Linked DNA regions of Mus musculus: all the other regions are reported to be linked to region 1. Evidence: microRNA targets listed by miRTarBase, many of them from high-throughput screens and not tested one by one. Region 1 holds a microRNA gene; each other region holds the end of a gene's coding sequence.

Region 1 (5,301 bases):
CCACCTTGGTGTAGGAAGGACTGGCTCTTACAAAAATAGCAAAGGAGAGGGGCCAGGGAAGAGAAGGCTCTGAGTACCGGGGCAGGCTCTGGGGAAGCCCCAGCCCATCCGTGAGACGTGGAGGCAGGGAGTGCTGGGCAAGCAGGCTGAGAGAGCTGCTCTGCTTTCCTCAGAAATGAGGTCACCACCAGCACACAGGCTCCCAGGTGCACCAGGAAGGGGGAGCAAGCCCAGTAGATGCAGTTGGGGGGAGGGAGGCTCCTGGGTCCTCAAACACGCGAGTGACCCTTCACAGGCCTAAGAAACGGGAAGGAAAAGATGAAAGGACCTCGAACCCCTTCCTTCCACCCAATGAGTCCCTGAGAAGGAGGCACAGAGACAGCTGCTTTCCTGCCACCGCGTTTAATTTTGTCTAACATTCCAAGGCAATGCAGTGAAAAACTCTCCATCTACCGTATGGAAGCCACACCTTGCCCCTCCCCAGACCCAGGAGGTTCTCCTTTGTATCACTGAATTTATTTTTACTTTTACACAAGTCACCTTTTTGTTGTTAAGATAATTTTGCTAAGCAAAGGGTGTGGGGGGGGGGGAGGAACGGCTGGTAGGCACAAAGATGGAAAAAGATTTCTATTATCACAAGGGGGCTGGGCAGGTTCTGGATAGAGGCTGAGAGACCAATCTTATAAATAACTAAGGCAAGAGGCTCTTGGGATTGAACTGGGCCAAGATGGAGGTAAGGTGACCTAGGTAGTGCCCACCTCTGCACTTCTGCGCTGTGTGTGCTACTCCCTAAGGAGTAGGCCCTCACCCCCCAGATCTGCTTCCTTAATATGTTCAAGGAAAAGAAAGCGGGTCAAGTCAGGATGGTAGCACTAATCCTTCCCAGTCAATCTGCTAAAGCATGTATACACTGATATGTGCCTTAAAGAACCCCAAAAGACCCCAAGCCTTAAGGTATGTGAACTGACTTTGGATCCTTTCTTCCCTACACTTGATAGGGTCCATAGCTGGGTCTACATCCACCACGCGGGAGCCCTAATGGTTTCCTAAGTTGCAGGGGGCCCCAAACTTCAAGATAAGGAAAGAGTAAAGGGAGTGGCAGGAAGGAGAGGGACCTGAAGGCAGAGAAACCTCAAAGGGACCTTCCGCTCCTTGTGGGGCTAAGAACCACGGACACAGAACATTGGCACGCCCCACTCGCAGCGCCCAGCTAAGAGGGACCTGGAGCTTGAGTGGCCGGTGTGCAGCATTGGGTTGCCATGGGAACGGAATTCAGATTTTTTCCCCCAATTGCTTTTTTATTTGCTAGACATTGTAATACATCTTATGTTGCCATTTATTGGGGCGGGAAGGAGAGGAGCTCCAGAGAGCCTGGCTTCCCCCTTAACCAGTTGGGGAAGTTGGGGAGGCTCCGGCCCCAGCCGTCCGACCAGAACTATAGAGGTTTAGAGGATCTGGGCTACGTCTCTCCCGCCCAGCAGCCTGCTCTTGGTTTGTATGCAGGGCAGGGCCGGTCGGTCGGGGCGGGAGGCCCCCCGCCTAGGCCCCTTGCCATTGAGTACACTCCCCGCCAGTTCTGCTCCGCTTCACGCTGCACACAGACCCCCCAACTGCACACAAAGGCAGCTGCCAGAGCCGGTGAAAAGTGATCAAATTATCAAGAACTTGACCTCACCGAGGGGCGAAGCTCCAGCAACCCCCCAGCCGTATGCTAATGGTGCTCAGGGGCTGACTCGTCGAATAATTCGATAAAGGCTGCATTGTTAGCGGCAGGGCAGCCCCCTGCCCACCCTTTTACTCCCCCTACACACTGCCTACCGGTCTCTCTCTCTCTCTCCTCTCTCTCTCTCTCTCTCTCTCTCTCTCTCTCTCTCTCTCTCTCTCTCTCTCTCCCCCTTCCTCTCTCTCTCCCTTCCTCTCTCCCTTCCTCTCTCCGTTCTCTTTCTCATCGCATTTGCATCCCAAAATCCTAGTCTGCAGCTCAGGGCGTGGATTGTTCTAGCCTGATTTATGGGGTGAAGGCAAAGGCTGGCGCCTTCCCCGCCAGCGACCCCTCTGCAACCCCAGCCCGTTCCCTGCCCCCAACCCACTCCACTTCGGGGTTCCAGCCTCGGCGCTGGGAAATGGTGATGGGGGTGCAGGGACCGAGGAGGAGGTGAAGGGAATGCCTCCAGGACACGGCAAGTGTCCCCAGGAGAGCCGAGGTCGGATACCTGGTCCCGGCGTGGCCGCTCCGTCGAGCTGGAATCCCTGGGTGGCGTGGGCTTCTCTGGGCTCCTCTGGCTCCTGTGGCCAGGGCGGCCGGCCGGGCCATCGCACGCAGAAGTTGTGAGAGTCATTTCTACTTTCGGTTATCTAGCTTTATGACGGCTCTGTGGCACTCATACAGCTAGATAACCAAAGAGAGAAACGGGCCTCCCATTCGCCGGCACCGCTGCCGCGCTGTGGGCCCCACGTGCCGCCGCCGACCCGGCGCGGGGGCCTGAGCGGACTCCGCTCCCGCAGCCCCGGGCGCACGCGGAGAGCCAGAGGGGACCGACAGACACACAGACACACGGACTCCCGCCACCCGGATCGCCCAGCTCCCTTCCTCCCTCGCCCTCGCGATTTCTCCATCCCCAGTTCCCCGTCCAGTGCGTGCGCGGCCCGCTTCGACGCCGTCCCGGGGCGCACTCGGGTAACCGGCGCTCTGCGCTTGGGCAGCCTCGGGCGCCCTGGCGGCCCCCAGCGCACTGGACCATCAGCCCTCCTCTCGCAGGCTAATCGCCCCGCGGGGAAGTGACGTCAGTCGGGGGATCGGCCTATCACGGGCTTCCATTCAAATCCCAGCCCCCTTCCCGCGCTCGGCACCACCCAGCCTTACAATGGCCTCGGCGTTCACGGCTTCTGCGCCGCGAGGACAGGGGAGCGCCTCTTCTGCCCTCAGAAGCCTTAGGCCTGCTTGCTTGGATGCACACAGTCTGGCCTTTCTCTCAAACCTCTCTGACCTCCCAGCAACGTCTTAGGTGCCTGGCAGCCACCGCAGACCACCAGAGTTAGAGTTTGAGGGAAGAGGTTTAAGGTCGAGGTCTCTCCAAGGCAACCAAGTGAGCGCAGGAGAGGCTGCGAACCGGTCACTTTATCCTTAAGGTCTCTCTTCCTTTTTTTTCTTGCCCAGCACTGTACAGACACCGCGGTAGAGACTGGGGATTAAGGGAAGGAGTGGGTGTCTAGATCAATGTATCCCATATATATTGCCTGACTTGTAGGGATTCCCATGGCATGCTTCGCTCAAACCAGGTCCTAAATGTCGGCACCAGATTGTTAGCCCTTTCCCTCTGACCATTCCTAGTACAGCCAAGGATATGTAATCAATTGTGCCCCTGCGCCTTAAAGATATCCAAGGCCGTAATTGGGCTCCTATTCACCTCCCATAAAAATAATCAGCTCCTGCCATCTTTCTGCTCACAGCACACCCTAGCCCACTTACTCCAAGTGACTTTACAGGGCAAAAGAATTGACATTTTGAGGTTTCACAGTAGAATTGAGCCTGGCCACCAAACTGAAGTCCCGTCTCAGTCTCCTAAACGTGGTGGTTTAGAGGTTGCTCACCTGAAACCCATCCTGTCTTCCTTGCTCCTGTACACCCCTCCCACTATGAGCCCTGATTCACCCCCTTCACCCATTCCTGGGAGGCAAAGGATTAAATATGAAAAATTCGATATCTCCTTCCCCCCCCCCCAGTCATCCCTAGAAAGATCTTAAATCCAAGATCTAGAGATTGACTTAACAATAGAGTGGGGGTGGGGGGTAGCGGGTTCCAGGATTCCAGCAGTGACTATGAGGGAGTCCCAAAGACTCTCTGTGCTAAGGCATCCCCAAAGCAGCCCAGATTTGGTGGGGGTACTCATTCAGATCTGTTTTGGTGAGGCGGGGGGGGGGGCACCCCTTACACACTCTCCATCAGCAAATCCCATAAGGCTGGGTTCAAAGAATAGGCCCAAAGTGGGTGATTTGGAAGGGATCAGGGAATTTTTCTAAAGGTATCTAAAGCAGTCTCCCTTAAATGACACATCTGGATTTTTTTTGTTTAATACCAGGCTTTGGCACCACACCTCTGTACCCCGTGCTTGTTTTAGATTCGTCCTATTTTTTATCTTGACCCCAAATCCAAGGTGGGCTGCATCCCCACTGCCATCCCTGTCAGCCAGTGAGCAAGCCAGCTAGCAGTTACACACCTCTTTCCAAATGCCACCTCACAGACAAATCCTTGTCTCAGAAAAAGGACACAGGCTAGACTGAAAAGCATCAGAGAAACAGAGGGGCCGACCTACCGACAGCAAGGCCCAGGAAGGAACCTCGAATTTGGGCCTGCCTGGTTAATTCTAAAGGATTTTTCATAATTAGGAGGTGTCCCTTTCTTCTCCTCCTACAGCCTCTGGAATCTACACCCTCTTCCATTTAGCTGTGTGTCTGTCAGTGTGGGCGGCCTCCTGCGCTCTAGTCCTTCTGGGCCACCCTGAGCTTGGATGGGTGGAACTGAAGAGGCAGAGGGAACTGTGCAAGCACGATTCACCTGAAAGAGGGGGAGGGAGAAGAAAGAGGGGGAGTGGGGAGCAGGAGAGAGGGGAAAGAGAGAAGGAGCGTTCTCAGAGTGTGATTTAAGCAGGACGCTGCACAAAATGGCTCCTCGGCTGTGAGGTTCATGGTTATAGCACGCTGGAGCCCTGGCCTGAGAGCCTAGGGCTGGTTAGGAGTCTGGGAGAAAGACTAAAAAGCTTGATTTTGCTTTCTGTTCAGGTAAGGCAGGTTAGTGCCACCAAAGCCACATTTCTGTTGTCCTTTAGGAAACCATGTCCCTTGCCAAAGCAGGTGAGGCCAGCCAGGCAGAGGTTCCTACACCATGCTGGAGTGGGCTCTGTCTCCAGTGTCCGGGTGCATGAAGGTGTTATCAGCTCTCTCTCAGGAAGGAGGCCACAGTGAGTGTGGGCCTTGGGTCATCCATTGCTTGCCCTTTGGAGGATGTTCTGGTGGGACAGGGCAGTAGGTAGTCTCCTTGAGCTAGCAGCCACACCCATGTACAGGATGGGAAGCCTCCAGGTCAGACCCAGCAGGGACACATTGTTTGGGGCTGAGCCTACCCACGGAGGACCCAGCTGACTTTGGCTCTGATTGTCTTTTCATCTTCACACTGTACTCTGGGCCGGGTCTAAGTTCGCTACACTTCCTCCTATATCAATCTCTTGCCTCTAGCCTACTGTCCCTAAGTCCCAAGAAAGAGCTGGCAGTGGATCTAGAGCTAGAAAACCCATGGTTGCTGAC
Region 2 (5,301 bases), not on the chromosome of region 1:
ACCAGGGGGCAGCCTACACCCAGCACATGATTTGGGCAGGCTGAGCGCTGCCCCTGCAGGTGGGTCATTGCTTCCAGGAGACCTGCGGCTGCCATCTCTAAAGCTTGTTCCAGGATCTCAGGATGGCGTCTGGAAATTGTAGAGGAAAAAGAACACGCCCCTTAGAAACAGGCCCAACGGAGCCTGCTCCTCACCCCTAACTTTCCACACATTCCAGCCCAGGCCATCCCATCTTCAGCGGGCTGGAGGAAACCGGAAGCTTCGGGATTCTGAGAACTCAGCCTCGCTAAGGACTCTGCTCTCCCCCGACTCTGATCAGCCCCACTGAGGAGCCATTTCTTTCCGAGGAAGTCTTAGTCCTCTCCCTTTACTTCCATGATTCAGATTCTATACTGTGGTGGTTTGAATGAGAAATGGCCCCCATAGGTTCATGTATTACAACGCCTGGTCCCGGATTAGTGTTATTGTTTAGGGGAGATAATAGGACGGTTAGGTCGGTCCTTTCTCAACCTGTGGGTCGCGACCCCTTGGGGTTGTCAAGTGATTCTTTCACAGGGGTCACCTAAGACCACTGGGAAACACAGATATTTATATTACAAACCATAACAATAGCAAAATGACAGTTATGGAGCAATAAAACTATGGTGGTGGTGGTCACCACAACATGACGTTGCAGTTGACAGCCCCTGCCAGGAGGTTGATGAGAGTATATTACCGTCTCACTCCACTTTAGTTTGCCCTCTTTGCTTCCAGGTTATGGTCAAACATAGGTTCTGGCTGCCTGCTGCCTCGCCTCCACCATTATAGACCCTCCCTTGGGAATGTAGCCAGAGCAAACTTTTCTGTACGTTGATTTTAGCCAGGGTGGGTATACAGCAGCAGAGAGGTAACTAAGACTTAAACTAACAAGTCTTCCAGGTGTATACTTTAGCCAGGCATGGTGGGGCATGCCTATACATCATAGTGAGCTCAGAGCTAACCAGGGATTCTAGAAAACCCTGTCTCAAGCGTGCCAGAGAGGGAGGCTCAAATAAGGCAGAGAGCAACAGAGGAAGAGATCCAGTTTTGATCTCTGGACTCAGTGTGTACCCACGCTCTCACGTGAACACATTACCCCCTCCCCCATGGGGTGGGGGATAAAGGCACATGCCACCGCCATCCTGATATATCTTCCTCTCTCCTTTTCTCCACATTCTCTCTCTCTCTCTCTCTCTCTCTCTCTCTCTCTCTCTCCCTCTCTCTCTCTCTCTCCCTCTCCTTTTTCTTCATTTTCCAGTCCTGCAGGGTTGAAACAGACAGGGTTTCTTTGTGTAGCCCTGGCTGTCCTGGAACTGGCTCTGTAGATTAGGCTGGCCTCGAACTCACAAAGACCTAGATCTGCCTACTTCTGTCTCCTGAGTGCTGGCACTAAAGGCCGTGCCTGCCTCTGTTTTCCTTTTTAAAAAGAGCATATTGAAAGAAAAATTCAGAGAGAGCTCTAGGCTTTATTCTAAATTTTAACATTTTGATTATCATCATTGTGTATGATGGGGTGTGGGGTGGGTGGTGGAGGTCAGAAGCAACTCTGTGGAGTTAATCCTCTCCTTTCAACTTTACTTGGGTCTGGGACTCTCACAGGTCATTAGGCTTGTGTGGCAAGTACTTTTACCTGCTAAGCCATCGTGCCACATTAAAAAAAAAATTTTTTTTTGTGACCATGTCTCATGTAGCCCAAGTTGACTTCAAACTCACTGTGCCATCAAGGGTGAGGATGGCCTTCAATGCTATTCCTTCAGGCCTCAACCCCAAGTTCCGGGAACTACAGGCATGGGGTATGGGGGGCACCCCTTTTCTTTTTTAAAGAAAGGGAAGGAAAGCAACCTTCTACCTTTACACAGAGCCCATCTTCTGTGGGGAGGGGTGTGTGAGCCGGAGGAGCAGTGAGCAGGTCCTACAGCGGCGTCCCCTTTGCCCAGACACACATTCCTTGGAGATGGCTGGGTATCTTGGATCCTTCGCCAATCCCCAGTCTTTGGAGGCCTTTCACCCTTTCCTTGAATGGCACAGCTCAGACCGCCTGGGTATCTGCCTGTGACCTTTTCTCTATCTTTCTCTATCTCCAGGCGCTTCGGTTCTGACCTTCAATCACAAAAGCTTACCAAAACTTTGAAGGCCAACATCTGCGTTTTTTATCTTGTTGCTCACATGTGAGACTCATTGCCTAGCTTGAAGGCCTCTTAAGTTTTATAGCGTTAACTCTTCCATTTAAGTCCATGATCCACTTTTAATTTTTTTATTAATTTAATTTTATTAAGTTTATTTTCATTTCTTTATCTGTGGCTGATAAGACATGACGTAGTTATACAGCATGGGCTGGCTTTAAACTCAGGAGCCTTCTGTTCCAGGCCCTTGAGTCTTGGGCTCCCAGGCCCAGGCCCGGTGTTTGAGTTTATTTTCGTTATGGTTAGGGAGCAATCCAAATGTGTTTTCCCTGCAGGTGAACACTCAGTTGTATTAGCCCCAGTTACTGAAAACAAAGGGGTTTTTGTTGTGTTGTTTTGGAAACCAGGTCTCATGTAGTTCAGGCTGGCCTTGAACTCCCAATCCTGTATCCACCCCCAGAGGGCCGGGACTGCAGATATATAGTGTCAGGCTCTGTTCTCTCTGCGGAGAATTACCTTGGCCTCTTTGTCTAATCTTGGCTGACTGTAAATTAGCATTTGATCCTGGATTCTTGACTCTGCCATTCTAGTTAGTCCTCCCTGTGAGCAAGAGGATCAGGGTTTTCTTTGGGGCTTTCATTTAAAGATGGAGTCGGGGAGCACTGCTCCAGGGGAGGTGACCTGCTGGTTGGGAGAGAGGGGTATAGACTAGGGTGGACTAAGAAGATGGAATGAACAGGATGTCCCAGCTCTTCTCCCTGTTCTTATGAGAAGCAGGTGTTACATTCCTGTGCCATAAACCAGCCCTGTGTGTGTGTGTGTGTGTGTGTGTGTGTAGGGGGCAGGGCAGAGAAAGAATGTGTATGTCTCAGAGACGGGAAGTGGCCTCCCCACCCAGCCTTCTCCCCGCATAGTCTACCGGTTCTCTGGCCCTTAGCTTGCCTACTTCAGCATGTCACATTCTCCAGCTGCCCTGAGGAGCCTGCCAAGCCTCCACTTATACCGAGGCCAAAGGCTTTAGGGCTCAAAATAGCCAGGCCATGGAGGGCTGGAGAATGCACTTGGAGAGAAGTCGGGGCAGACACCCAGGCCCCCTTCTCTGCTTGGGATACACAGGGAAGGGAAGGGAGATAGAGACTGCCCAAGCAATGCAAACTTGGCTCAGGGCAGTGGGAAGGCGCCTGGGCGACTTGAGATAAGGTGCTAATTTCACAGACTCACCGCCCAGCCAGGGCCAGGGCGACTGTGGCCTCAGATCAGGAAGAAAAGCAGAAAGGCTGGCAGGCAGGAGGAAGTGGGTGTGGGCACCAGATGGGCTCCGGAGGGCAGAGCTAGAGTGACAGCCTCCCCGCACCCCCCTACACACACACTCAGAGACAGGCAGCTTTTCTGAGAGTCAAACACACTTTATTCCGGATAAGATGTCTGGACAGAAGGCCTTGGACAGGGTCCCCACAAAGAGCTCTGCTGCAGGCCTCTCTGCAAACAGAGCAAAGATCACGTAACCGGGCACAAAAGGACAGAGGGGTTCAGAACAAGGTCACCATGGGCCGGTCCTGCCTGGGCGAGTGTGGGGGTAGTTCTCATGAGCACCTGGGTGGGGGAGGGGAGGGGCCTTGCTGATTTAGTGTCACTTCCACAGGGAAGGCAGTGAGTGAATTGCAGGAGTCAGCACATGATTAGAAGGGTCTGAGATCCACAGTACATGAGGTAGCCGGCGAGGGCTTGGCAGGCCTGGGCAGCGCTCCCATACCTGCGCTGGCAGCCCAACAGTCACCTCCGCTTAGCAAATTGTAAATGACCTTCCCTGCCCAGGACACCACTCCTGAAACCTGGGGTCAGTGCGGGGCTTGGGGAGGGAGTCTCAGTGGGCAGATCAAGGCAGGCCTGCCAGCAGAACCAACCTTACTGACCACAGCCTCAGGACATCATGATCAGGGTGCAGAAGGGCTCAGAGATGGGCCAATTTTAACTTCTGCCTTGGGGTGTAGTGTTGGGCAAGGCCCATTCACCTACAGACTGGGTGGAGGGAACCTAAGATCCGGAAGCCCAGTGCTGCAAGTCGGTGAGACCCCCCCAGTCCCAGGGATGCTATGCTGCGCCAACAGGGCTCGAGGAGGGGGTGCTTAGGAGGGTGGTGGCTATCCTGGGACCTTTGGGATGGTCCAGGTGGGGCCAGCCTAATTTCCTGAATATTAACTGGAGAGGGCTGGGCAAGGGATGACCGCAGCATCTTCCTGACTGTCCCTGCTAGTGGAGTGGGATGTGTTTCATAAGCAGTGTCCCCCTGTAGGAGAGGACCAATTACCATCCTCCTCCAAGGTGTGACCAAGAACTCCTGGACTGAAGAGGGATCCCTTGCATCCTGAGGGCTCTGTGCCCCGATGTGGCTGTGCAGGTTGGCTCACCAGCAGGGGGTGGAACAGGGCTGTCTGTCTGGGGGGCCAAGGGGCCTAGCCGGTGCCGTGGGGATGGGTGAGTATCAGGCACAGTCATTCAGCATTCAATCCAAAGTTTTGGGGTAGAGAGACCGAGGCAAGGCCAGCACTACCTAAGTGAGTCACAGCAGGGACAAGGGGTTGCAGGGCGACACAAAGGCCCAGGCATCCAGGGATCACAACCAGCAGGCAAGAGAGACACAGCTGATCACTGTGGAGACGGGCAGGGGAGCTGCTCTGGGCATGCGCCCTGCCTCAGACTCACTCATCAAACTTCCCTTCCCGAATGTGCTCAAAGGAGAAGGGGAGGAACTTGAAGCCAGTCCCAGTGTAGAATTTGTTCTGGAACTCCACCCTGCAACGCAGAAGAGCACAGCTGTCATTTCACAGGGAAAATGGAACAGGGCTGAGTGTGGTGGCCCACACTTCAACCGTGGGGGACAGAGGCAGGTGGATTGGTGGCCAGCCAGGGTGACATTGTGAGACCCCGTCAAAAATAAAAATAAAATAAAATAAGGAGGTTAAATGGCTCCGTGGTTAGAGTACGGGCTGCTCTTGCAGAGGACCTGGGTTTCCAGCACCCACATGACTGCTCACAACTGCCTGTAACTCCAGCTCCTAGAGACCTGACACCCTCATCTAGTCTCCATGCCCCCACTCAGACACATAAATAAAACAATAGGGGGCTGCAGAGATGGCTCAGTGGTTAAGAGCACTGACTG
Region 3 (5,301 bases), not on the chromosome of region 1:
TTGATGTAGCACTTGCCTAGCATGGCCAACAGTGAAAAACAAAGTTGAACATAGACTTACTCTATAGGCCAACAACTCTATCCCTAGGTAAATAGTCTCCTGAAAATGGAGTGTGGGCAGGTCAACTGGCTGTACTAAGCATATATAGTGAGCTACTTCTTCATGCCCCTCCTGACTATATGCCACTTAAATGTGGAAGGAGAAAACTGACTCTGCAAAATTGTCTTCTGGCCTCCATATGCATGCTGTGGTACATGTGTGCCCAGCCACACATATCACACACACACACACACACACACACACACACACAAAACTAATGATGATGATGATGATGACAGTAAATAAAAGAATTTTTAAAATCTCATTCATTAGTATTCCAAATTGAGATGTAGCCAAGTAAAAAGGTAGCTTGTATAAGATTTGCTTTATATTCTATGAAAAACATTGCCGTGTTTTATAAATGGATGCTAGGATTATAGTAAAAACTTAAGAAATAAAAAATGAAAGTTATAACATAGAAAAAGCAGATTTGCTATATTTTCTAGAGTAAAACCTCTGCAAATGAATAAGAAAACTAAGTTTTAAACAACCAGTATCCCGAGAAGGGACCATCTGTTGTGGGTAGCAGCACCCCTGAGTGTTCACACTGAAAATCTTCCCAAGAGCGATAGTTGGCTCAGCTGGCTGTGCTGTCTTTGAAGCTAAAACCCACAGTTGTTTGTTGTTCCCCAAAGAAATGACTGAAGGAGGTTTGACAAAAAACATACCATATACATTCTGGCTTTTCAGCTTTTAAAGAAATAGAACTGACTCCCTGTCTTTTGTGTTTTCCCTGTGTTATTCAGGTGATTGACATTTCGATGATCCTGGCTGAAGCCATTCGAAGAACCCACAATGGGGAATCCGTGTCCTATCTGTTCAGCCATGTCCCACTGTAGTCTGGATTGGAATATTGAAGATGGAGCAAGCCTCCTCCAACTTCTCACTGTCTTTGTCTGCCTGCTGTTTTAGAATTAGGACTCCGCAATTCTAGGATGATCACTGGCAAAAGCATCTGATCTGTGTCCACTCTAAGAGCCCTCTGTCTCTCCTTCTAAAGCTCAAGACTACTACTTTCCAGTCCTGGGGGAGGGCAGAGAAAGGTGGTGGTTATTTGGTCGTTAATTGAACTGGTGTCAATGAGAACTCATCTTTTCCCTCGTTCTTTTTTAGTACTTTGAGGTAACAACTTTTAAGCCTAAAATCCCATTGTGGAAATTTGTCATACATACATTTTGAGGATGCCAAAGGTGATTTCAAATGAAAGCCTTCTGTGTAAATATATAATAATGCCTGTGGATATTTGGGGGGAAATCCTAAATAACCTTTATGTCAGAGAGAACCTTGGAAAATTTATACTATCATGAATTTTGAAATTTTGTTGTTTTTTTCTTAATGATAACTGGGTTTATTTTATTGCCCTTTATCAGGACTGAATTTTATTGGGCCTAAGATAGCCACTGACATACTGACTTTTCTTAGTAGATATTAGACATATTAAAGACAATATAAGGCTGTATCATTTTTTAATTGCCACTTTGAAGATATATCATAAATGACAACTTACCGGAAACTCCCAAATTATGATCAGTGATCACTGATTTGGCTACCATTTCAGGCTGTAGTCAATGAGTTTGTGACCACGTTGATGCACAACTTTGTCTATCCCAGGGGAATTTCTCTTTAGAATGTAGCTCATGTCCTATCACCTTATTCTCAGACGTTAACAATAGCCTTTACTTTCCACATTCCCCAATAGTTTCTTGTTGTAGATGTCCACCAAAAGAAAGGCTCCTTGAAACCCCCTCACATATTTTAGGTTGATTATTATTTTATTTTTTCACATACATAAAATGGGGAGGATTTAAGAGTGCCACCAAATACACTTATTCAAACAGAGCTTACTGAGCTTGAGTTAAATGTCCTTTGGCCCTTTGTCATCAGAAGAACTCCATCTCTAATGACTAGTTAGCATCTCTAAAGCTGCTAAAATGTAGACAGGAGAGGGTTGCAAAACAGTGGAGGCAAAAGTAAATAGCTGTTCCATTAAAATAAACTTCAAAGAAATGCTTCAGAAAGCATTGTGAAGAAGAATCTCATTGTGGGTGGCATTCTTGATAAAATGATCTTTTAGTGAAGTGTGGAGGTCTGTGCCCGTAATCCCAGCACTTTAAAACTAATGCAGGAAGAGTACCACAAGTTTAAGGCCAGCCTAGGCTACACAGTGAGTTCCAGCTCAGCTTGGCCTGGAGAGCTGAGACTGTGTGTCATAAAACACAAACAAACAAAAGGCATCAGTAAGTGCACAACCTATCATTTTCCTTCTCACAAAGAAGAGGATTTGCCTGTGTACCTAAAGCTTAGGAATGCTTAAAAAAAAATCCCCCCCCCCTTGCTGAGTATTGTAGATAAATTCCCAGCCCTAAATTTTGCAGGTAAGAAATTCCTATCCATCTGAGTAGCACACTCAACCAGCACTCTGGAACAGCAGAGGAGCAGAAGTCAAATCAATGTTACAAAGTATAATTTATGTTCCTATAGAGACTGGCATTTTGATAATACCTTATTTGTAACTGTTCTGAAGAAAGTGGTTCCTATAACCTGGGATGCTCAGCTCTGTGGTACAGTCTGTCTCAGGCTTGGTTAGACATGTGTCAAAACTTGTTTGAGATGATGCAGCTGTTACTTGTGATAAATGTGCGATGTCTTAATTTCTTGGGTTTTATGGCTGTGCTGAAGACATTCTTGTGCATACCCACATGGAGATAGCTCAGTGTGTGTGTGTGTGTGTGTGTGTGTGTGTGTGTGTGTGTGTGTACATGTCCCAAAGCATTGGCATGACAAAAGCCAGTTGGTAATCATTTTATCTAAGATATTTAAAGCTTAATGTGTACCATGGATCTTAAAATAAGAATCTTCAGTTTTAAAACCCTGTCATAAAAATCTGCCTGGCTGTCCTCTGAATTTGAGAACCAATTGTTTCTGTCCTTACTTGGCCTGAGTTAGTATTTTAAAGTACCTCTGAATACATTTGTGAACTAATTAGACTGGACTGGGCCTTATACAGTGGAAATATGGTTTTAAATATTGGTTTCAGTTTGGCTAAAATGACGAAGGCTGCCTCATGAGCAGCCTTATTTCAGAACTTTCTTGTTCCTTGCTGCTTGTGGTAAAGAAACATAATGGAAATTACCAAATAGATCAGCTCTGTCCAACTCTATGTAAGGAGAGCATGTTAGTCATATCTACCCAAAAAGGGGAGCCAGGAAATAGTGAATATACCAAAGTTGTTTATCCTCCACATAATTTTATTAGTTTACTTATAGATGTTCATATGCTAACTTTCCTTTGTTAGATACAATGTCGACTAAATTCAGGACATTTCTTGCAGCGCTTGCCCTGGTTTTAGAGACTAGAGAATTTTGAGATCTGGTGCCATTTACTAAGACATTTCAATAAAATCATGCTGACTACTTTCTTTCATAGTTCTTGTCATCCTTTTGGAATTCTGGTTTTGGATGAAATGATCTGCTGATGAAGTGCCTGAGAATGTTCATTACTATAAGTTAACCATCCAGTTTGCAAAAGGAGAGGAAAGCCAGAAATAATTAAAATGTCCTCTTCACGACTTTTTCTTTGTGAAGGACTTATTGGCTATCTTCTCTCACAAGGCATCATCGATGCTCCACAGAGCACATCCAAATTGATCATTCTAGAGACTATCTTTCAAATTAAAGACCAGGAGTGGGGAGATGGTACCTGCCACCAAGCTGACCTGAGTTTAGTCCCTGGGACCCACATGGTGGGAGGAGAGAGTTGTCTTCTAACCACCACATGGAAATGTAGAATGCAAATGCCCACCTCCACACACCCTTATATCCATGCATTGCTACAGTGTATTATACATACAATTATCTAAAAAGTAGAGAAACTCATTATCCATGTATTGGAACAGTCCAAACTTAAGTGCAGACTGCATAGAAGTTGTCCACATGCTTTGTTTTAAAGGATGCCCAAAAGGGTTTCTGTCCTTTTAGAACATGCCCCCTCACACCCTGTTCTGTGATGCTTTAAATTTTGCTTGTGGGAACAAAATAATTGCATGTCCCTGTTGTGCGAATGTGTGTATCTGCCCATCTGTCTGTGTACATGTTCATGTGTGAGCGTGGATGTGAATGCCAGAGGTTGAGCTCTCCTCAGCTCTCCCCTGCCTTATTTATTTATTTATTTGTTTATTTATTTATTTATATTTATTTGACATCATCTCTCACCGAACCTGGAGCTCACGAATTTGGCTCTACTAGCTGGCCAGTGAGCTCTGGAAATCTTCTGTCTCCAGTGCTAGGATTAACAGGCAAACTGCTACCACACCGTTTTTTACATGGGTTCTGGGGACACAAACTCAGGTCCTCATGCTTCTGTGCGGCGCGTGCCTTATAGACTGTGCCAGTTCTCTAGCCTCAGGACAAGATACACAGTTATTTTCTTGGATGTATGAGAAATGCTTGAGTGAAAGTGACACCCAAAGAAAGGCCTTAAAAATCACCAGACAGCCAGGCATGGAGTACATGCCTTGACTCCCAGTACTCAAGAGGTGAAGGCAGACTGATCTCAAGGCCAGATCGGTCTACATAGTGAGCTCCAGGACAGCCAAGGCTACAAACATGGGTTGCTATCTTGGAAAACAAGCAAGCAAAACTACTATGCATTATAAAGAACTGTCACCAGGTCTGTGAGGAAAGAACACCATAAGGTCACTTAAAAGGAGATTTACTGCAAAAGAGAGGTTTACAGTGGTGCCCAAGAATGCTGCCCCATCTTGGAAGTGTTTCATTCCTCATAGAAGTCCCCTCTAATCCACCCATGAACTCCAGGCATCAGACCAAATGAAGTAGAGATAGTTGAAGGCTGTGAAATTTGGAGTGTTGAATCTAGTCAGGAGTTTAGTAAGGGCTTAGTGAAGGTACCACTGCTAGAAGTGGTCATCTGCCGTAGAATTGTCCAGAATGCAATATCCATTTTCCAGCACAGACTGAGTGGTTCATGGTGTGTTTGAAGGGGGAATAGCCAATGTAGATGGGGGCTTGGAGTAGAAACATGACCATATCCTTCATCTAAATTGTGTGTATAAGTCAACAAACTACTTAAAACTGATGAGCTTATAGACCTTGTGGGTCTAGGCAGATGACTCAGCACTTAAGACTGCTTGATATGCAAGTATGAGGGCCCAAGGTCAAATTCCTAGCTTGTTTATAAGAAACC
Region 4 (5,301 bases), not on the chromosome of region 1:
AGTGTCACAACTACTCAAGTCTGCAACTGTAGAGGGGAGCAGCCATGACAGTTCCTAGACAGACACGGCTCTAACTCCTGTAATAATTTCCTCAGAGAAGGATGGGCCAGGACAGACTTGGCCTGTAGGGGTTGGAGTCTGACAGCTCAGACAACCTGTCACAAACAACTAAACTTTTGTCTGCTTCCGGCAACTTCAGCAATCCTGATGCAGAACTAAAACACTAAACAGTTTGCTTAGTGATTATTTGGGAGGCATCAGGGAGACGCTACTGGAAGATAGAACAAAATAACGACACAGGGACAAGTTATGTTCTAGAGAGGTGCCCCTTGAGATGAGCTGGGAGATGGGACATCTACCCTTTATTAAAGAAGAAAAAAAAATACTTTGTGGTGGCCATTGGCTGCTTTAGACAAAGTATACATGAATTCAGTATTTGGTCAGTTTCAAGGCAGAAATGATAGAGTATTTATAACGTTCTTACACTGTAGGATGAAACAACTTTTTAAATACGAGATAAAAATGAGAAACCCTTAACCTGAAGGTTGACAAAAACCTAGTTTTGCAACAGGATCAAATCTCTGGATGACTGTTGTACCTACTACCAAGACCTCAGAGTGAACTAATTAGTGTGACTTCCTAAAACTGTAAGTCCAACTAAGAGAATGATACTAGTTTATCTCTTAAGTTGAGCAAAATGGCTTAATGAAAGAGACTAATAAGCATCTGGCTTTCCAACTTAAGACTGAAATGTCTCATTTACCTAGAAATGAAATTCAGAAGCATGAAACAAGAAAGCAAGAAAATACAGCAAATCTAAAAGTCCATGTTAACTGGATGTCATCTGGGGGTTTTCTCTCTGGGAGATGATGTGGGAATTCCACATTTTTTTTTTTTTTAAATGAGCTGAAGATCTTGTAGTCAGAAGGGCTGACTAAGACATCTTTCTCAGAAACAAGTTTACTTACTTTTAAGTTCCAGGAGAGCCAGAAATCATCTGTAAAGGAAAGTAAGTACTAAATAGCATGCCACTTTCTCCTAGGGTTGATGCCTACAAAAGGAAAAATGGACATTAACTTTTTGCAGTCTTGTCTTTCTCCAATACTGAAGGTGATTTTTAGATTACTGAACTCAGTTCAATCTAAGCAGTTATCCAATGTTTTCCCTCTATATGTAGGTTCCTTTGGAAATTAAAACAAAATAAAGGCTCTGTATTATGGACTTAACACTAGAGAGCTGATTTTTGAGTACACCTAGGTTTGAATCTTGACATTACTACTAGTTTACTAGGGTAAATTACAGTCTGTTTTCTTAACAACATTCACATAATATTTGAACCACATGCTAAGCACTGCACTAAATTCAAGAAACACAACAATGAGATTACTAGTCGCAAGTAAGGTGAATTTCATTTCTTAATTTGCAATACATGGCTAAGAACTATTCAGAGAACAGGCAAAATGTCCGTGACGGTCAAAAAAGACTGTGAAGGTTTCATAAAAAACAAAAAAAACCACACAAGTATTTATTTGCCCAAGCATTTGTTCAAATGCCAGGCACTAGAGATGAAACAATGGATTAAACGTCCCTCTGGTCCAGTCTAGCAATGACCAACGCACAGTAAGAGATGCTAAGTAGAAAGGACAGGGTGTTCAGCACGTGTAGTTGGGTACCTGGCCTAGAGGATACCCCTGAAGCTTCTTAGATGATATGTAAGCCAAGTTCTGCAAGATGAACAGAAGTTTGTCTTCTATCTACCTTGATAGCAATGAAGGCAGGGGAGTGGTATGAGTGATCTGACTGTAAAGCCATCTGCTGAAGGGAAAGTGAGAGGAAGAGCAGGTCTGGGAGAAAGAGCCAAGATGTGAAAGAGCAAAGAGTTAGCAATATTAGCAACTATGATTTACAGGGAAATCTCAGGAGACAAAAATTTGGAAGTATCTGCATACAGGTGATAACTAAAGTCATAGAAAGAGATCAACTAAGGAAGTAATGTAGGAATATGAGGTAAGGGAGTCTTAAAAGAAAACAAAACAGAACAGCAAACAAAACAACCAGACAGACATACTTAAGGAAGAGGTGACTACAATTACTGGAGTTGGTGTCTCTGCAATGCTACAATGATTTCAAGAAGGCAAAAATACTGACAAAACACACTGAACTTGAGTGATCTGATGGGCAATATGGGAGCCTGGGCAAGCAAATATTTGAACTAGTGGGAATGAGAGAAATGGGAAAGGACAGTTAAGGACACAGAATTGTTGTTGCTTTAAATGGCACTTATTTGAACTATATTCACTGATACCACAGGACCAGTAACAACTATATATTTAAAACGGAAAAAGGAAAGAAAAAACTGCCATGCAGCTAGAGTTACTTCCAGAAATACAAAAAACAGCAAAACACCTTAAACCAGAAGTTCTCAACCCATGAGTCTCGCCCCTCTGGGGGGTCGAATATCAGATATCTATCCTGCATATTGGATATTTACAATTCATAACAGTAGCAAAATTACAGTTATGAAATAGCAAAGAAATAATTTTATGGCTGGGGGTTACCACAACATGAGGAACTATATTAAAGGGTCGCAGCACTAGGAAGGTTAAGAACCACTGCCTTAAACGAAGAAAAAAACAAAAAATAAGACTAGTTACAGCAAACTTGCTAAGGATTAATTTAAAAAAATCCCTTAGCTTATTTATATCTCCCCCATATTCACACAGTGGTTACATGATGCAAACTAGCTTTATTATCACCTTAAGCAAAACACAAGAACTTGATAGAATGCACAAGATATTAATATTTAGGGGACTAAAATAGAAAGTAGAAGCAGCTTTCAGGACTTCCAATCATTCTCTCAAATAATAAAAGTATTTTACGTATTTATTGTGAAAGGTAATCCACAAAGCTCCTGGGAAACTACCAGTAGACTCATTTTCCAGGTACTTAAGCTCATTCTTTGATAAGGAAAATGTCAATCTGACACTAGCTTTTCTCCTCTGAACTGCTGGAACTAGGCTTCCCTATCAAGTATACACCATCAGCTTCCGCTGGAGATTGTTTCCTGTCCTTTGAAGTAAGATGATGTATGCTTGGTGGGGGAGGGGGAGGTGCTGGCACTTTGGGAGTAATGGATGACTCTTCATGGCATCAGGCTGTCTGACCACCATAGGAAGGAGAGCTCTTCTTGGCTTACCTGCCAGCACAACCCTCCAGGACTACAAAGGTGCCCTAACCCTTTCCAGCACTCTCTGGAAGGAAGGGCTTCTACCTTTGGTTTAGAACCACTGATCTAACTTTGGCTCTTAGACTCGTGTGGCTTAAGCATCAGTTCCTTCCAAACGCTTGGTTGTAATAAGGTTCCTCGAATGTGCAACACGACAGTGTGCTGCCGTATTTAAGACAGAACGGAGCACATCAGCTTGTAAACTGCACGAGGAGGAGTTACAAATCAGTGCTGCTTTTAGATCAGGCTTCAGGTTGAGCTTTACCTTAAGATTGTCTTCTCCACAGTTAGAAAGTCTGATAACATCATAGCACAAAACCAATGTCTCCAGAAATAGGAATTATTACAGTCTGTGGATAAGGTTGCTTCTTGAGATTTAAATATTTTTACTTGTGCACTGTCTTAACTACTCAATGTGCGAGACAGTTCTAAATTCTAGAATAAATCCATTTCCTACACCTAACAAAATCTGACTCATCACTTCAAAATAAAGTGTCTCCCTTAAGCATGGTTTCCTTATAAAACATGAATACCCATGCAGATAAGACAAACGAGCTAAAACCTTCAGAACTCCTGATCTTGAAGTGTAAAAGTCTTTCCCCTTTACTGTTTGGATAGGGCCAAAGTTCTGTCTAGAGCAGGGAAAAAAAAATTACTGACTGGCAGTGATCAAGATTCCATACTTACCATGGTCCTTTGATAGATGAGCTGAAAAAATTGCTCCAGCTGTGAAAAAATAAGGAGCAAACCACCAATAATTGGTTATTCTTAACTCCTGATAGTAAGAAACTCCTAAATCAGGAATTTAAAATAATTCTTGCTGCTCCAACACCAAATTGATTACTTCCTCCATCCGTAATGTCACCATCAACTGGGTAGGTGGGGATGGGGGGATTGTATTTACTTAGAAATATGCTTTAAAAAATAATCTTAAATTCTGTTATCTAGATAAAATACCTCCACTGTGTTTATGCTATTCCTTTTCAGAAACTTAATTTGATATGTGAGTTTCTGTAAACTGGCTCAAATACACTTTTAAGGAGTTGGTCATTTCAAACCACGTGTCACACTTTCCACTGTGTCAAAATAAGAGCTGAAACTTTTGGCATATATCTTTAAACCATTTTAAAACCAGACTTCTAGTTCAACTGACAATATCAATACTAAATTTGTTGAAAATCAGTAATAATAAAAGGAAAGAACAATGACTTTTCCATTAAACTAAGTTTTTTAAAGGTGGTATTCTTATGCTTCAGTCAGTCCCATGTTGCCAAATGAGATGGAGAAAGGCAACTTGTCAGAAAGATTTCAATGCTTATCAATTTGAACATCTGTAGTAAGTTCAATGCTTTCCAACCATCCAAATGAGGAAATGTGAAAGAAAAATCAAATTAATTTTCCCTTTTCAAATCAACTTCTTGGACCACAACGGCTTACGAATCATTTCTTTCTCTCACAAGATCATCCCAACGAGGATCCATTTCAGTTGTGGCAACTCGAAACAGTGCTTGGAGATGCTCATCCGTCAGTGGCTGGCTCAATGTGTGCTGGTTTCGAGTTAAATATGCAAAAGCCTTATCACAGATCTGGTTACTATCAAATAAGGATGCCACCTTATAGGCAACCCCTTTGATAATTGGGTAAGCTTCACCAGACAGTCCTGCATAAAACTGTCCCAAGTCTTTGACTCTGTACTCATTCCACAGGTCAGTGTTGGCCTGAAGTTTTGTTAGCTCCACTCTTACAGAAATAGGCGCATATTCCGGTTTAAAGCTAAATGGATTTGAGAAAAGTTCTAAGTCCTTTTTAATGAACCTGAGGTCCTTAAAATGTCTCTCAAAATCTTTCTGTAGGCGGGAGATCACCATTTGATACCTGTCAGGATCAAATATTTTTTGATCTTCCTTAAACTGCTGTTTAAGTTCATCAACGATTATACTGAAGGCAGGAAAGTCTGTTAGATTTACTTCCTCCATATGTCTCTGAAGTGAACTCAGCTTACCCTCAAAGGTGCAGATGCGTTCAAAGGCAGCAGCAGCAAAGACTTTACTGATCTGCAGTTCTTCACTGATCTC
Region 5 (5,301 bases), not on the chromosome of region 1:
CGAGGCCAGCCTGGTCTACAGAGTGAGTTCCAGGACAGCCAGAGCTACCCAGAGAAACCCTGTCTCAAAAAAAAAACAAAACAAAAACAAAACAACAACAACAAAAAAAGATGAGCAATGCAGTAATTACATGTCCTGGGTGAAGCACTGCCCTGTAGTTTGTACAGTTTCTGCCCACTCTTACCTCTGCTCGATACTTGAAGGGCAGGGGCACCAGGCAAGCAGGTGGTAATGGCATATCACAATACAGCTGACCAAGAGCAGGGTAAGCTTCTGCTAGGTTCCATCAGAAGGACTTGGGATGGAGACTAGGGTAGCCATGCTATTGGAGGTAGCCCTCTTCCACACATTGCTTTTACGTAGGGCCGTGAGTTTTAGACTGATGAATTATTTGTTCTCCAGCCCAAGTCCAGTAGCTGTTACTAACCGTCCACCCCCGTCCATGCCACCATGCAGTCTGCTCACAGTGCCTTGGACCATCTCATTCACCCACACGTCCCCACAGCCAGCACAGAGTCACTCCATCAACACTGCGGAGTGCAAAACAATAAATCTTTATTTGTTCACAGTTAAACACAAGCAACTGCCTTGACATTTTAGAACATTCTAAAGACAGCAAACCTTTGATTCCATTCACTGAGACTGTCCCATGTTCTCCTGCAGCCCATATTTATGGCATCTGATTTGGATTGTTTGACATGCTTTTAAGATCATATCTTAGTGGGAACATTTAAACCTTTTGAGAAGTGACTTCCATTGAACTAAAAAGTTTTTTTTTTTTTAAAATCTGATTCGTTTTCACTGATGGGAATATCACACCCCCCCTTAAACTCCCAAGTTAGCCATATCTGCTTCATCCATGATTGATTATAAAACTAAACTATGTCTTAGCAAAACCTGCTCCTCTGCATCATGTTTGTGGTCCAGTCTCATGAAGGGTGACCATTGAATCTTCCTAGTGCAAAAAAACGCCTGCCTGCCTGCCTCTGGTTTGCCAGGGAGTCAACAGCATCAAGTCCTCCTCTCCCTTCCGACACTGTGTGAGCAGAGGCAGGAGGAGGCGTCAGTCTGGAGCCCTTGATCCCCAGGGGTCTTATGAAAGACCATCCTCCAGTGGCTCAGGCTGCCTACTTATCCAGGGGTGGATAATACTGGGGCTCCGGGAAGGGAAGGACACCTCTCTGCCCCCATTAATTTCATTCTGACACCAAAAGTGGTTAGGATGCAGTTTGTTGTAGCTACTGCTGCTCTTCTATACAGCATTTAAAAACTCAGGGTGATACCAGAGACAGAAGCACTGCTCCCCTGAACACACCAGGGGCTCACAAACCAGGAAGCTGAATAACAAGGGTGGAAGCAGCAGCCCAGTGATGTCCCCCCACCCTCCTACAGGCTAAACCCAGGGCAATGAGGCGCCTCTGGGTGGACACAAACATCCTCACACTGGCTGTGTTTCCAGTGCACATGGCAGTGGGTTTAAAGCATGGCCCTGGGGCGAAGGTGCAGCGGACTCAGTCCTCGGCTGCAGGGCCACTGGCCTCTGGCTGAGGCAGACCACATGCTGCAGTGCAAACTGAGCCTGTGCAATGCCCACACCTCTACCAGGGTGTCCTGTGTCTCCCACCTTACCATGTGGCATGCCTTTGCTACTTAGTTCTGACCTCAGGTGTATGGTCTTCCCTCCGCCGTCCCCCCCCTCCCCGCCCCCTGGCTGGCTGGGCACACTCACTTAGTCGTCACCCCTTGCTTTCTAAGCTTCCTGCCAGCCTGAGCTCTGTGGTCAGCTCACAGCTCCTTTTATCCTTGACTACTAACATTTTCTCATTCTCCTTTGAGCACTAGAGCCCACAGACTCTGCAAGTGATCCTGAGTCTATCGCTTGTCACCTATGGTGCCACCACCAACCTGGGAGGTGCTTGGTCACTGGCTACAGCAGCATGGGGCAGAGAGACTTTTGTCTGCTTTTTAAACCACCAGTGGCTACCAGACTTTTCCTGGGTTGTGACAGCTTGCCTTCTAAGAAGAGTGACTCCCTGCTAATCATGTCACACAGTTGGAACCTTCTGCAGCTTAGTCCAGAAGATTAAGCCTTTTTTCCCCCGAAAGAGGTCAGCACTCACTGCTGGTGCCTGGAGATGCCACTTAGAGCCTGTCTCCTCATGCTCCCTGCCATGTTGCCCTGGCTCCTAAAGCACAGTCTTAGCTTGCAGGCAGGGATATTACATAGAAATATGCACTTAGCTCTTCTCCTGGGCACCCATCTCCTACACTGCAGTGACATGGTAGGGCTGCTTCTAACAGATTCTGGACTGCATGAGACACAGCCTCCAGTTTCCTTGGAGCCCGTTAGCAAGCACAGCACACAGTCCGAGTGATGACAGGATGAAGGCCATTCAACCCCCCACCCCCTCCCCACACTATGCCACCATGAAACCCACCAGGGTTTCTACTCCTTGGCCCAGGACTCCAGCTGCTCCTCAGAAGCTTCCTGGTGCGCACAACTAGACCAGGTGACCTACTGACTCCTAGGTCAACTGTCACTGCTCTCTAAAACAGAAGCCTCCACCCAACCACCCACTGACCCTGAAGTCCTTTGAAAGGAGTCAATGTTTAGGTTAAGTGCCTTAAAGATGTCTCAGGGGCACAGTCCTCCAACCTTAGGTGGGAAAGTCTTAACAGCCTTCTAGAACTCAAGCCACATAGGATGCTCAGGCTCTGTCGCTGGGTATGGGAAGAGGTTGGAGGAAAGTGCAGAAGGCCCAGGTGAAGTCTGTGGAGATGGCAGCCTGCATGTTAGCTTACCTTACCATGCTCCTCTCCAGAAACTTTCATCACCTGTACAGTCTAAGTTTTCTTCCTAAATGCTCTGTTCTCTGACAGACCTTGGTGGTGGAGGTGGTAACTCTTGGAAACTGTGACTACCTGTGAGATCTGTCAATCTGCCCACTTCTCCAATGGCTTGGGTGAGAGAATCCTGGGTCTTAAGCTTTGCTTTGGGCAGAACTACATGAAAAAGCATGCCATCACTGTCACCCACACTCCAAGTGTTCAGGGGCAGTGGCTGCCCTCTGCTGGTCTGAGGGGTTAGTGGCACGCCTTCCTGTGGGCGTTAAGTCTTGCCTTACTTAGGGATGCTAGGATATTTACTGCCACACTTCAGACTTTCATCCTCAGGCTGTAAACTTTCCTATTCAGTAAGATTCGTACCATTTTGTTGTTGTTTTTAGCTTTGTTGTAGCTAAACCCTCTTCTTACAGAATAGAAACAAGCAATCCAAGCTCATGGCTCCTTCCTAGTCTCTCCTTGCCTGGGCCAGAATATCAGGCAACAATTCTTTCACTTCGAGCATTTATTTCAGGAGCATTGGTTGAGTTTGGATTCTGCCACCACTGTGTTCTGGCAGTGACCAATGTCACCTCTTGTGAGCATGAGGCCAGGCAGTGGTATAGGCCACCAGCCTTTATCAGACTCTGAGTTACTCTGCTGTTCCTAACAGAAATGTTTGATATGAAGCTCCAGGGAGGGTCTTTCCTGAAGTTGGAGTTGGTGTAAAAGCTGTGAGAACCTAGTAAGGTGAGGCAACCCCTCAGCCGAGAGTGATCATCACATAAGCTCCTAGGAGGCCCTGACTTCCCGAGCCTGTCTGCTGCAGCATCACAAGGCAGCTGGACCCGAGGGGACCAAGGGGAGGCAAACAGGCTGAAGGGTGGAACCATGACCAGCCAGAGGCACACATCCACATAAGCACGGGCATCGTAGGTGCCTCTCCTAGTGACCACTCCCCACTGTCTGCAGATTGCAGAACGAACACCTGTACACCCACCCACAGGCAGCATGGTGCCAGCATTCAAGCAAATACCAAATAAATAAGAGGTAGTGGGGCAGAGGGGTAAGAGCTTTCCAGAGAGTTAAGGCAGTGTGGCCTCCACAGTGGCAACTGCACTGTCAAAGCAGCTGGTATTCTCACAGAACCTTCTAGGAATCATATCAGAGCTGCCAAGAAAAGGCAGAGGTGAGTGAGCCAGTTTCTCTAGATCTGTGGCTTAGATGCTGAACTTCAGAACCAAAAGCAGTGGGAACGCTCCTGTAAAGACAGCTCTGTAGGCTCTATCCTCCTGCAAGGGACAAACTGGACTTACCTGCAGTGCCACTAGTTGCCTGGTCTACCCAAGAGCCACCCAGTTGTCTGAACCTCAGGAAAGCAGAGTGGCATATTGGACCCAAAGATGAAATTTGGCCTCATATTGCACAGGTTCAAATGACATAACCATTTGGTGGGAGGAGAGAGTGAAGCACAGACCCTCAATCAGTACACACTGCTGGGTAAATGAAAGGCTAGGGGAGGTGAAGGAAGCGTCTCAATGCCAGACCCAAAAGCCACCATCCCACTCTCTGCCCTCTGTCAGAAGGACCTCTGTCCCATTCCCACCGCACAAGCAGCTGCTCAGACCCTGGAAACAGAAGCCTAGACCGTGCATTCACACCTTCTGTTCTGTGCCGACAAAGACGCAAATGAACACTGACAGACCCTCTTCAGCTGTGTTCAGGATGAGTCTCATTGTAGTCCATGATGTGGAGCTGCCCCACATTGTCTGAGTTTGGGGAAGATGGGTGTGGGGCATCTAGACTCAGGGAAGTCTTGTTTTCTGTGCCCGAGTCCTTGCCCAGTTCTGTCTTCAGGGTCTCAGAAAGGCTGCTGCTACTCATGGTCACGCTGTCCTCATCACACTGGCTCTCGCTCTTATTACGGAACAGCTCCCGGGCCTTCATGCCCAGGAAGCTTTTGGAACTGGGAAGTGAGCCAACAGTGGTGGGGATGCTGCTGGAGGGCTCGCCCAGGGCAGGTTCCCACCGGCTGCTGAACCTCTGGCTCGGGGGTTTCTCTGGAGTGGAAAGCTCACTGCTGCTGCTGCTGCTGCCTCCAGTGACTCTACCTCCACAGCTGGCCCGGGTGCCACCAGGTCTGGAGGTCCTGGTCTCACCATTGTGACCAGAAGCCTCTTCATTATGTCCTACCAAGGAATCTGTGCATCCATCACTACAACAGTCAAGCCTGTAAGAGACCCAGAGAGAGTGCAGCTGACAACCACAGCACTGCAGAGGAAATGCAAAATTACACTTGCGTCCCAACTCCACATGCTCCTTCTCTAATTAAATATTTCATGTATGTATGTATGTATGTATGTATGTATGTATGTATGTATGTGCCTGCCTGAAACCTGAGGAGGCCAGAAGACAGTATCCGATTCCCTACATCCAGGAACCAAACTGAGGTCCTCTGCAAGAGCAGTAACCCTTTAT
Region 6 (5,301 bases), not on the chromosome of region 1:
AAATGAGAAAGGGGTATAAAAGATAGAAGGCGCTTCACAGCCGAGCAGGGAAGGGTGGCAGGTAATAAAAACAATGAGAAGAACAGGTAACAGCAGGTAAACACCAGGTAACGATAGCGATAAATTACTGAGGAGAAACGAAGTTCAAGGTAGGCCTAAGAAAGGAGGCACAAAACAACAACGGGAGCCAGGAAAGAAGTGTAAGCGGGCGCCTGACAGGAAAACACGTGGAATAAGGCCGCGCAGGGCCCCGCGTAGAATTTAGGCTCCAGGAAACCCCACCTCAGCCTTCCCCGCGTAACGGTACCTTCAGCTTGTGGAGCTCCACCGTCTCGGCCGCCATCTTGATGCGCCTCAGTCCACCGGACCCCCACCGCTGGCCCCCACCTCAGGCGCTTAGGCTCATCCAACCAATCGCTGTTTCTCTTGCTCCCACCTCACACCAACGGCTCTTCCCATTAGTCAGCGGCGGCGGCGCTCTCACGCCTCTTGGCCACTTTCCACGGCTCTCTAAAAAGGTGGATCCAGGGGAGGGCGGGGTTTGCATGGCCTAACGAGAGAAAAGGCGACCAATTGTACGTCTCCATTGCGTAACCAACCAATGATTGGGGACAGCGCGGATTCTGTTCCGCCAATAGGGAGAGCGCAGACAGGGCGAAAGTCGGCCACTTCCTGGAGACCACAGGTGTAAGAGCCAGCGCTGTGCCCCAAGCCGGACGGGCTCCTGAAGCTGGCAGGTATGGGCCCCGTGAAACTTTAAAAAGTTACAGAGAGAAATCGGTGGGAGTATTGGGAAGGGCGGCGAAACGACAACCTTAGATTCGAGAGATCCCGTGAAGAAAGTGACATGCGAAACTGGGACTCTGGGAGGAGCATGGGCGGACTCTGTAATTGATTTGGGGAATTGTGGGACAGGCAAGAGCGGGTTAAAACAAACAAAACAAAAAACAAAAGTAGGCATTAGAGCTTGCAGAAGTTTAAAAACTAAAACCGCTCCTAGAAGGGAAGGACTCCCATTTCTTGAGGGACTGAGCTCAGACCCCTTCCTAGACTAATTTAAAAATTGGGTAAGTTTTTGCAGCGCCCCACGTTCAGTGAAGGGATGAAATTGCTTGGCTGCTGACAATGCCAAGCGGGTGAGAGACAGGATGGACAAGCCCCAGGAAAAAAGGATGGGAACTAGAGGTAGCTTTACTCTCAGTGCCTTCTTTATTGGTCCCTTGATTAACTGAATAGCTTTCTTGTGGAACTCTGGGTATGTGTGACCTCTTTATAATTCACTAACTTCCTCAAGAAAGTAAATTAAAATACTCCCGATTCCTCCGATCCTTCAAATAGGTCTCACAGTCTAAACTTACTGCTTTATATTTAGTTGAAATGTAAAGATCTGAGTAAAAACCCCACTTGTGTGAGTATACACACTAACAACTGAAGGTACGGAAGTCAAAAGACAGCTTTCCGGAGTTGGTTATCACCTTCCACTGCATGGGTCCTGGGGATCCAACTCAGGTCTTTAGGCATGGTGACAAATACCTTTTCCACCTTAGTCATTTCGAAGACCCTCTTGCCTTTTTGTTTGTTTTGGAGAAAGGTCAAACAGTTCTCATGCCTCAACCTCCTAAATTCAGGGATTACAAGCATGAGCCACCACACCCAGCTGCTTCACCTCTTCTCAAGTTTTAACAAAGTGTTCAGTTTTTCCTTTTTTTGCATGGTAGGGAAATTCTTTCATTCCCAAGACTTCAGGGGATTTTGGCTTTTCAGGAGACAGCTGGGGAACAAGCTCAATCAGGGCTAATGAGGAGACTGAGTTGGACTCCTGCCTGATCCCTCACTGTGGTAGGATGAATGTGGGGGTGGCACACAGCGAAGTAAACCCCAACACTCGAGTGATGAACAGTCGGGGCATCTGGCTGGCCTACATCATCTTGGTAGGACTGCTGCATGTGGTTCTCCTCAGCATCCCTTTCTTCAGCATTCCTGTTGTCTGGACCCTGACCAACGTCATCCATAACTTGGTGAGCACTAAACCAAACCCTGTACCCAACCCAGGTCTATCCCAACCAAAACAAAACAAAGTCACCAGCTGTTCGGGGATTTATGTCTTCCTTTTGGGATCTTGACCCAAAGGACTACTTCCTACCCCTTATACTGTCCCTTTCCCTCTTCCCAGGCAATGTATATCTTCCTACATACAGTCAAAGGGACGCCCTTTGAGACCCCTGACCAAGGAAAGGCTCGGCTTTTGACACATTGGGAGCAGATGGACTATGGACTACAGTTTACCTCCTCGCGAAAGTTCCTCAGCATCTCTCCTATTGTACTGTGAGTCTGGGTGTGAAGGAGATGCTGGGTTGGAAATGGCTCTACTAACCAGGGAAAAGGTACTAGGGGTTGGGGAAATGGTTTAGTCAAGTGCTTGCCATAAAGGATAAGGACTTGAGTTCAATCCCTTGCACATATGTAAAAGCCAGATGTGGCCATGTACAACCATGAGTGCCTATAATCCCAGCACTGAAGAGTCAGAGGCAGGAAGATCCCTAGGGCTCGCTGGCCAGACAGTTTAGCCAAATTGCTGCACTCCAGAGTCAGAAAGCAACCCTGGCCAAAAAAAAAAAAAAAAAAAAAAAAAAAAAAAAAAAGAAAGAAAGAAAAGAAAAGAAAAGAAAAGAAAGTAGAGAGCAATTCATGACAACTCATGTTGAACTCTGGTCTCCATGTGTACTAACCCTTGAACATGTACCTATGTTTACACACACACACACACACACACACACACACACACTCTAGTCCTAAGCCTACATTATAAAGTACAAGACATAGTCAAGCATTCCTTGCTGGTTCCATGGTATTAAGGAAAGGGAGAAGGGACTGAAAATAAACCAAACTCCTAACTAAAGCCAAGTGATTTTACAGTCCCAAAAGAAAGCAAGAAGGTAAAGGCAGAATGTATATTAATGGTTAAAAAGTAAAACTGACTTGGAGAAAGGAAGCAAAAAGGGCTCCAAAAGTCATATATGCTGAAACAGCTTTGGCTGTCATTTGCAGTTTATCATTAACCATTAACAAACAAACTGATTTATCATCTCTAGTTAAAGATGCCTTCTGATTATATCCTGAACCTCATTAAATACCATTGATTAGCTGAAATAGTTGTTGGACTACATGCAATAAAACTAGTAGTTCAAAATAGAAAAGTCACTGGTAAGGCATGAATGTGATTTGGGAGGCCAACCTCCATCATCCTAATTCTTTTCTCCTAGTTACCTCCTGGCCAGCTTCTACACCAAGTACGATGCTGCTCACTTCCTCATCAACACTGCCTCGCTGCTCAGCGTGCTGCTGCCTAAGCTACCCCAGTTCCATGGGGTTCGTCTCTTTGGAATCAACAAATACTAAAAGATGGTTTGCTAGTTCTGCAGGCATTGAGGGAAGGCACTGGAACTAATATATAATGTTTTCCCTTCTCCACACTATCTTCTGTATCTTGGAAGCCTGAGAGATAAGATAAACCTATCTAAACTCCAAGAAGGAAGAAACTGGAAAATGGGGTTCCTGGGTCCAGTCTTCATAGGGTCAAGATTCTCTGAATCAGGAAAGGTGGATGAGGTTAAGGGCACTACCACTCACTCTCCTCTATCTAGCAAGAAGCCATCATTGTTTGGGCAGCTTTTCTGGTGATTATGTTTTTCCATATCTTCTAAACCTACCAACTTCAAGTTCTGTTTTGCTGTATATTTTTCTTAAAATAAAGTCTTTCAGTTATGGCTGAAATTTGATAAGCAAGGACAGAGAGATTTTCTCATAATGCTGGGGAGAAAATGCAAAATGCTGACTTACTATAAAAAAAACTTTTAAGCAAAATTTTGTCTCTACTCCTTTGGTCCAATACCTTTCACTCACAGCTAACAGCAAGGAAAGAATTCTCAAATAAGAAAAAAGAGCTCACAAGTGAGTAGTGGAGGCACATGCCTATAATACTAGCTAGCCCTCAGGAAGTGGAGGCAGAGGCAGGAGAATCACTGCAATCTGGAGTCCAGCCTGGTCTACACAGTAAGACTCTTATCTCCAAAAGAAAATAGAAAAGGACTCCCAGCTACATGGGTAAAGAAGAGAAGGAAGATGTAAGTTGCCAGTTATATATTTATAGAAAGATAATCTCCTGGCTTTAAATAGATATGTACATACAAATATGAACAAACTTAAAAAAATACAAACCCTTGGCTAACAAGGGGGCCTCTGGGAACCCCTCTATCCTTCCCCCTCACCCAAGGGCACAGGGCATAAATCTGCTTTTTAAAAATTAATTAATTTTGGCCATCCTTGCAACAACAAGCCTGAAGTTAGGTGTCTTACCAATAAAGTGAAAGTCAGAGGAAAAAAATCAGTTTCCACTCTTGAGTTCTGTGTCTCCAAAATTAGGGCTACATGCTTTTTCTTTTAGCTAGTATATCAGGGTAAAGGGGGGAGGGGAACCCCTGATATGGGTTTAAGAAATAAGATACACTCATTTAAAAGGGGGTGTGTTTCATCTGCTCTTAAGAGCAGATGATAAGATAAAGGCATACAGACCCCAGAGAAATCCCCAGTTCCCACACCTCAGAAGCATACTGTCTGGACTAGGTCCAGCCCCTAAGTTCTTTGCTCTGACCACCTCCTATTTCTTTGGTATTGTCAGAAAACAAGATTCAGTTCCTGGGTGTTGGGGAAGAGGGAGAAGAGGTCATGGGCTTCCTCTAAGTACTGAGTGAACAATTTAAAATGTTTCCCTTTTTAAAGTATTTTAAAATAAATCAAATTCCATCCTGTGCTGTACACAGCCCTTTTGACTCCCTGACATTGATTTGAGGAAGGAAGAGAAGGGGTGTCATCGTTGAAAGGGCCGCCTCACTTTCTTCCGCCGTTTAGGTTTGGCTTCTCCCTTGGGTACTGAACTGTTGGGCCTAGAGGTCGAAGTGGTCCCAGGGCCAGGGTGAGGTGCGGCAAAGAAGTTCCCATTGGACATCGGCCCCGGAGGTACTTGAAAGATCCGGCTCAAGAAATCCTGCAGGTCAGCAGGAGGGGACTCTGGAGTGGCCCTGAGGGAGAAAAGAGGCAGAAGACATTATAGTCGGCTTCCAAAATTAACTACACACCGAGAGTCAGTGCCCAAACTTCCTAGAAAACAAGGCATCTGAAACCATACAACTGACATAGTAGGTGTGAAAGTATCACCTACCTCTGCCGGCCACTGGTGCCGGGTACCCGAGAACCAAATGAGATGTGGTAAGGAACTCTGTGAGTATCTGGGGAGATACCCAC

The links. Region 1 holds the annotated microRNA mmu-miR-9-5p (UCUUUGGUUAUCUAGCUGUAUGA, at 2,382-2,404, opposite strand). A microRNA usually pairs through its seed, bases 2 to 8, with sites in the 3' UTR of a target mRNA and lowers its output. Matches are read on the target gene's strand: a 7mer-m8 pairs with bases 2 to 8, a 7mer-A1 pairs with bases 2 to 7 and ends in A, and an 8mer does both.
Region 2: miRTarBase lists Atp6v0a1 as a target of mmu-miR-9-5p. The part of its 3' UTR that is shown has no 7-base or 8-base seed match.
Region 3: the mRNA of Prps2 is a reported target of mmu-miR-9-5p. Seed matches in the 3' UTR shown: 7mer-m8 at 3,320-3,326.
Region 4: the mRNA of Epm2aip1 is a reported target of mmu-miR-9-5p. Seed matches in the 3' UTR shown: 7mer-m8 at 3,272-3,278.
Region 5: the mRNA of Tsc1 is a reported target of mmu-miR-9-5p. The part of its 3' UTR that is shown has no 7-base or 8-base seed match.
Region 6: the mRNA of Dnajc14 is a reported target of mmu-miR-9-5p. Seed matches in the 3' UTR shown: 8mer at 4,663-4,670, 7mer-m8 at 3,879-3,885 and 7mer-A1 at 3,377-3,383.

Annotation. Positions count from the first base shown.
Region 1 is chr7:79,502,382-79,507,682 of GRCm38, reverse strand. It overlaps Mir9-3 (microRNA 9-3), which reads right to left and starts at 2,419; the gene lies at 2,330-2,419. The region is part of intron 1 of Mir9-3hg (Mir9-3 host gene); the gene reads right to left. It overlaps Gm51285 (predicted gene, 51285), which reads left to right and starts at 2,347; the gene lies at 2,347-2,404.
Region 2 is chr11:101,061,945-101,067,245 of GRCm38, reverse strand. It overlaps Atp6v0a1 (ATPase, H+ transporting, lysosomal V0 subunit A1), which reads right to left. Exons shown (of 22, transcript NM_016920.4): 22 at 3,527-4,934. The coding sequence ends at 4,841. Among named protein-coding and RNA genes, the nearest start is that of Naglu, 5.5 kb to the left of the region's middle.
Region 3 is chrX:167,344,543-167,349,843 of GRCm38, reverse strand. It overlaps Prps2 (phosphoribosyl pyrophosphate synthetase 2), which reads left to right. Exons shown (of 7, transcript NM_026662.5): 7 at 846-3,524. The coding sequence ends at 938. Among named protein-coding and RNA genes, the nearest start is that of Tlr7, 17 kb to the right of the region's middle.
Region 4 is chr9:111,273,140-111,278,440 of GRCm38, reverse strand. It overlaps Epm2aip1 (EPM2A (laforin) interacting protein 1), which reads right to left. Exons shown (of 1, transcript NM_175266.4): 1 at 1-5,301. The coding sequence ends at 4,660. Among named protein-coding and RNA genes, the nearest start is that of Epm2aip1, 3.9 kb to the right of the region's middle.
Region 5 is chr2:28,686,406-28,691,706 of GRCm38, reverse strand. Tsc1 (TSC complex subunit 1) reads right to left here. Exons shown (of 23, transcript NM_022887.4): 23 at 535-5,053. The coding sequence ends at 4,534. Among named protein-coding and RNA genes, the nearest start is that of Spaca9, 11 kb to the left of the region's middle.
Region 6 is chr10:128,816,978-128,822,278 of GRCm38, reverse strand. Dnajc14 (DnaJ heat shock protein family (Hsp40) member C14) reads right to left here. Exons shown (of 7, transcript NM_001359825.1): 6 at 5,219-5,301; 7 at 2,831-5,078. The coding sequence ends at 4,868. It overlaps Ormdl2 (ORM1-like 2 (S. cerevisiae)), which reads left to right and starts at 650. Exons shown (of 4, transcript NM_024180.6): 1 at 650-737; 2 at 1,765-2,018; 3 at 2,174-2,325; 4 at 3,264-4,377. The coding sequence starts at 1,845. The coding sequence ends at 3,399. Sarnp (SAP domain containing ribonucleoprotein) reads right to left here and starts at 515. Exons shown (of 11, transcript NM_025364.3): 1 at 308-515. The coding sequence starts at 343.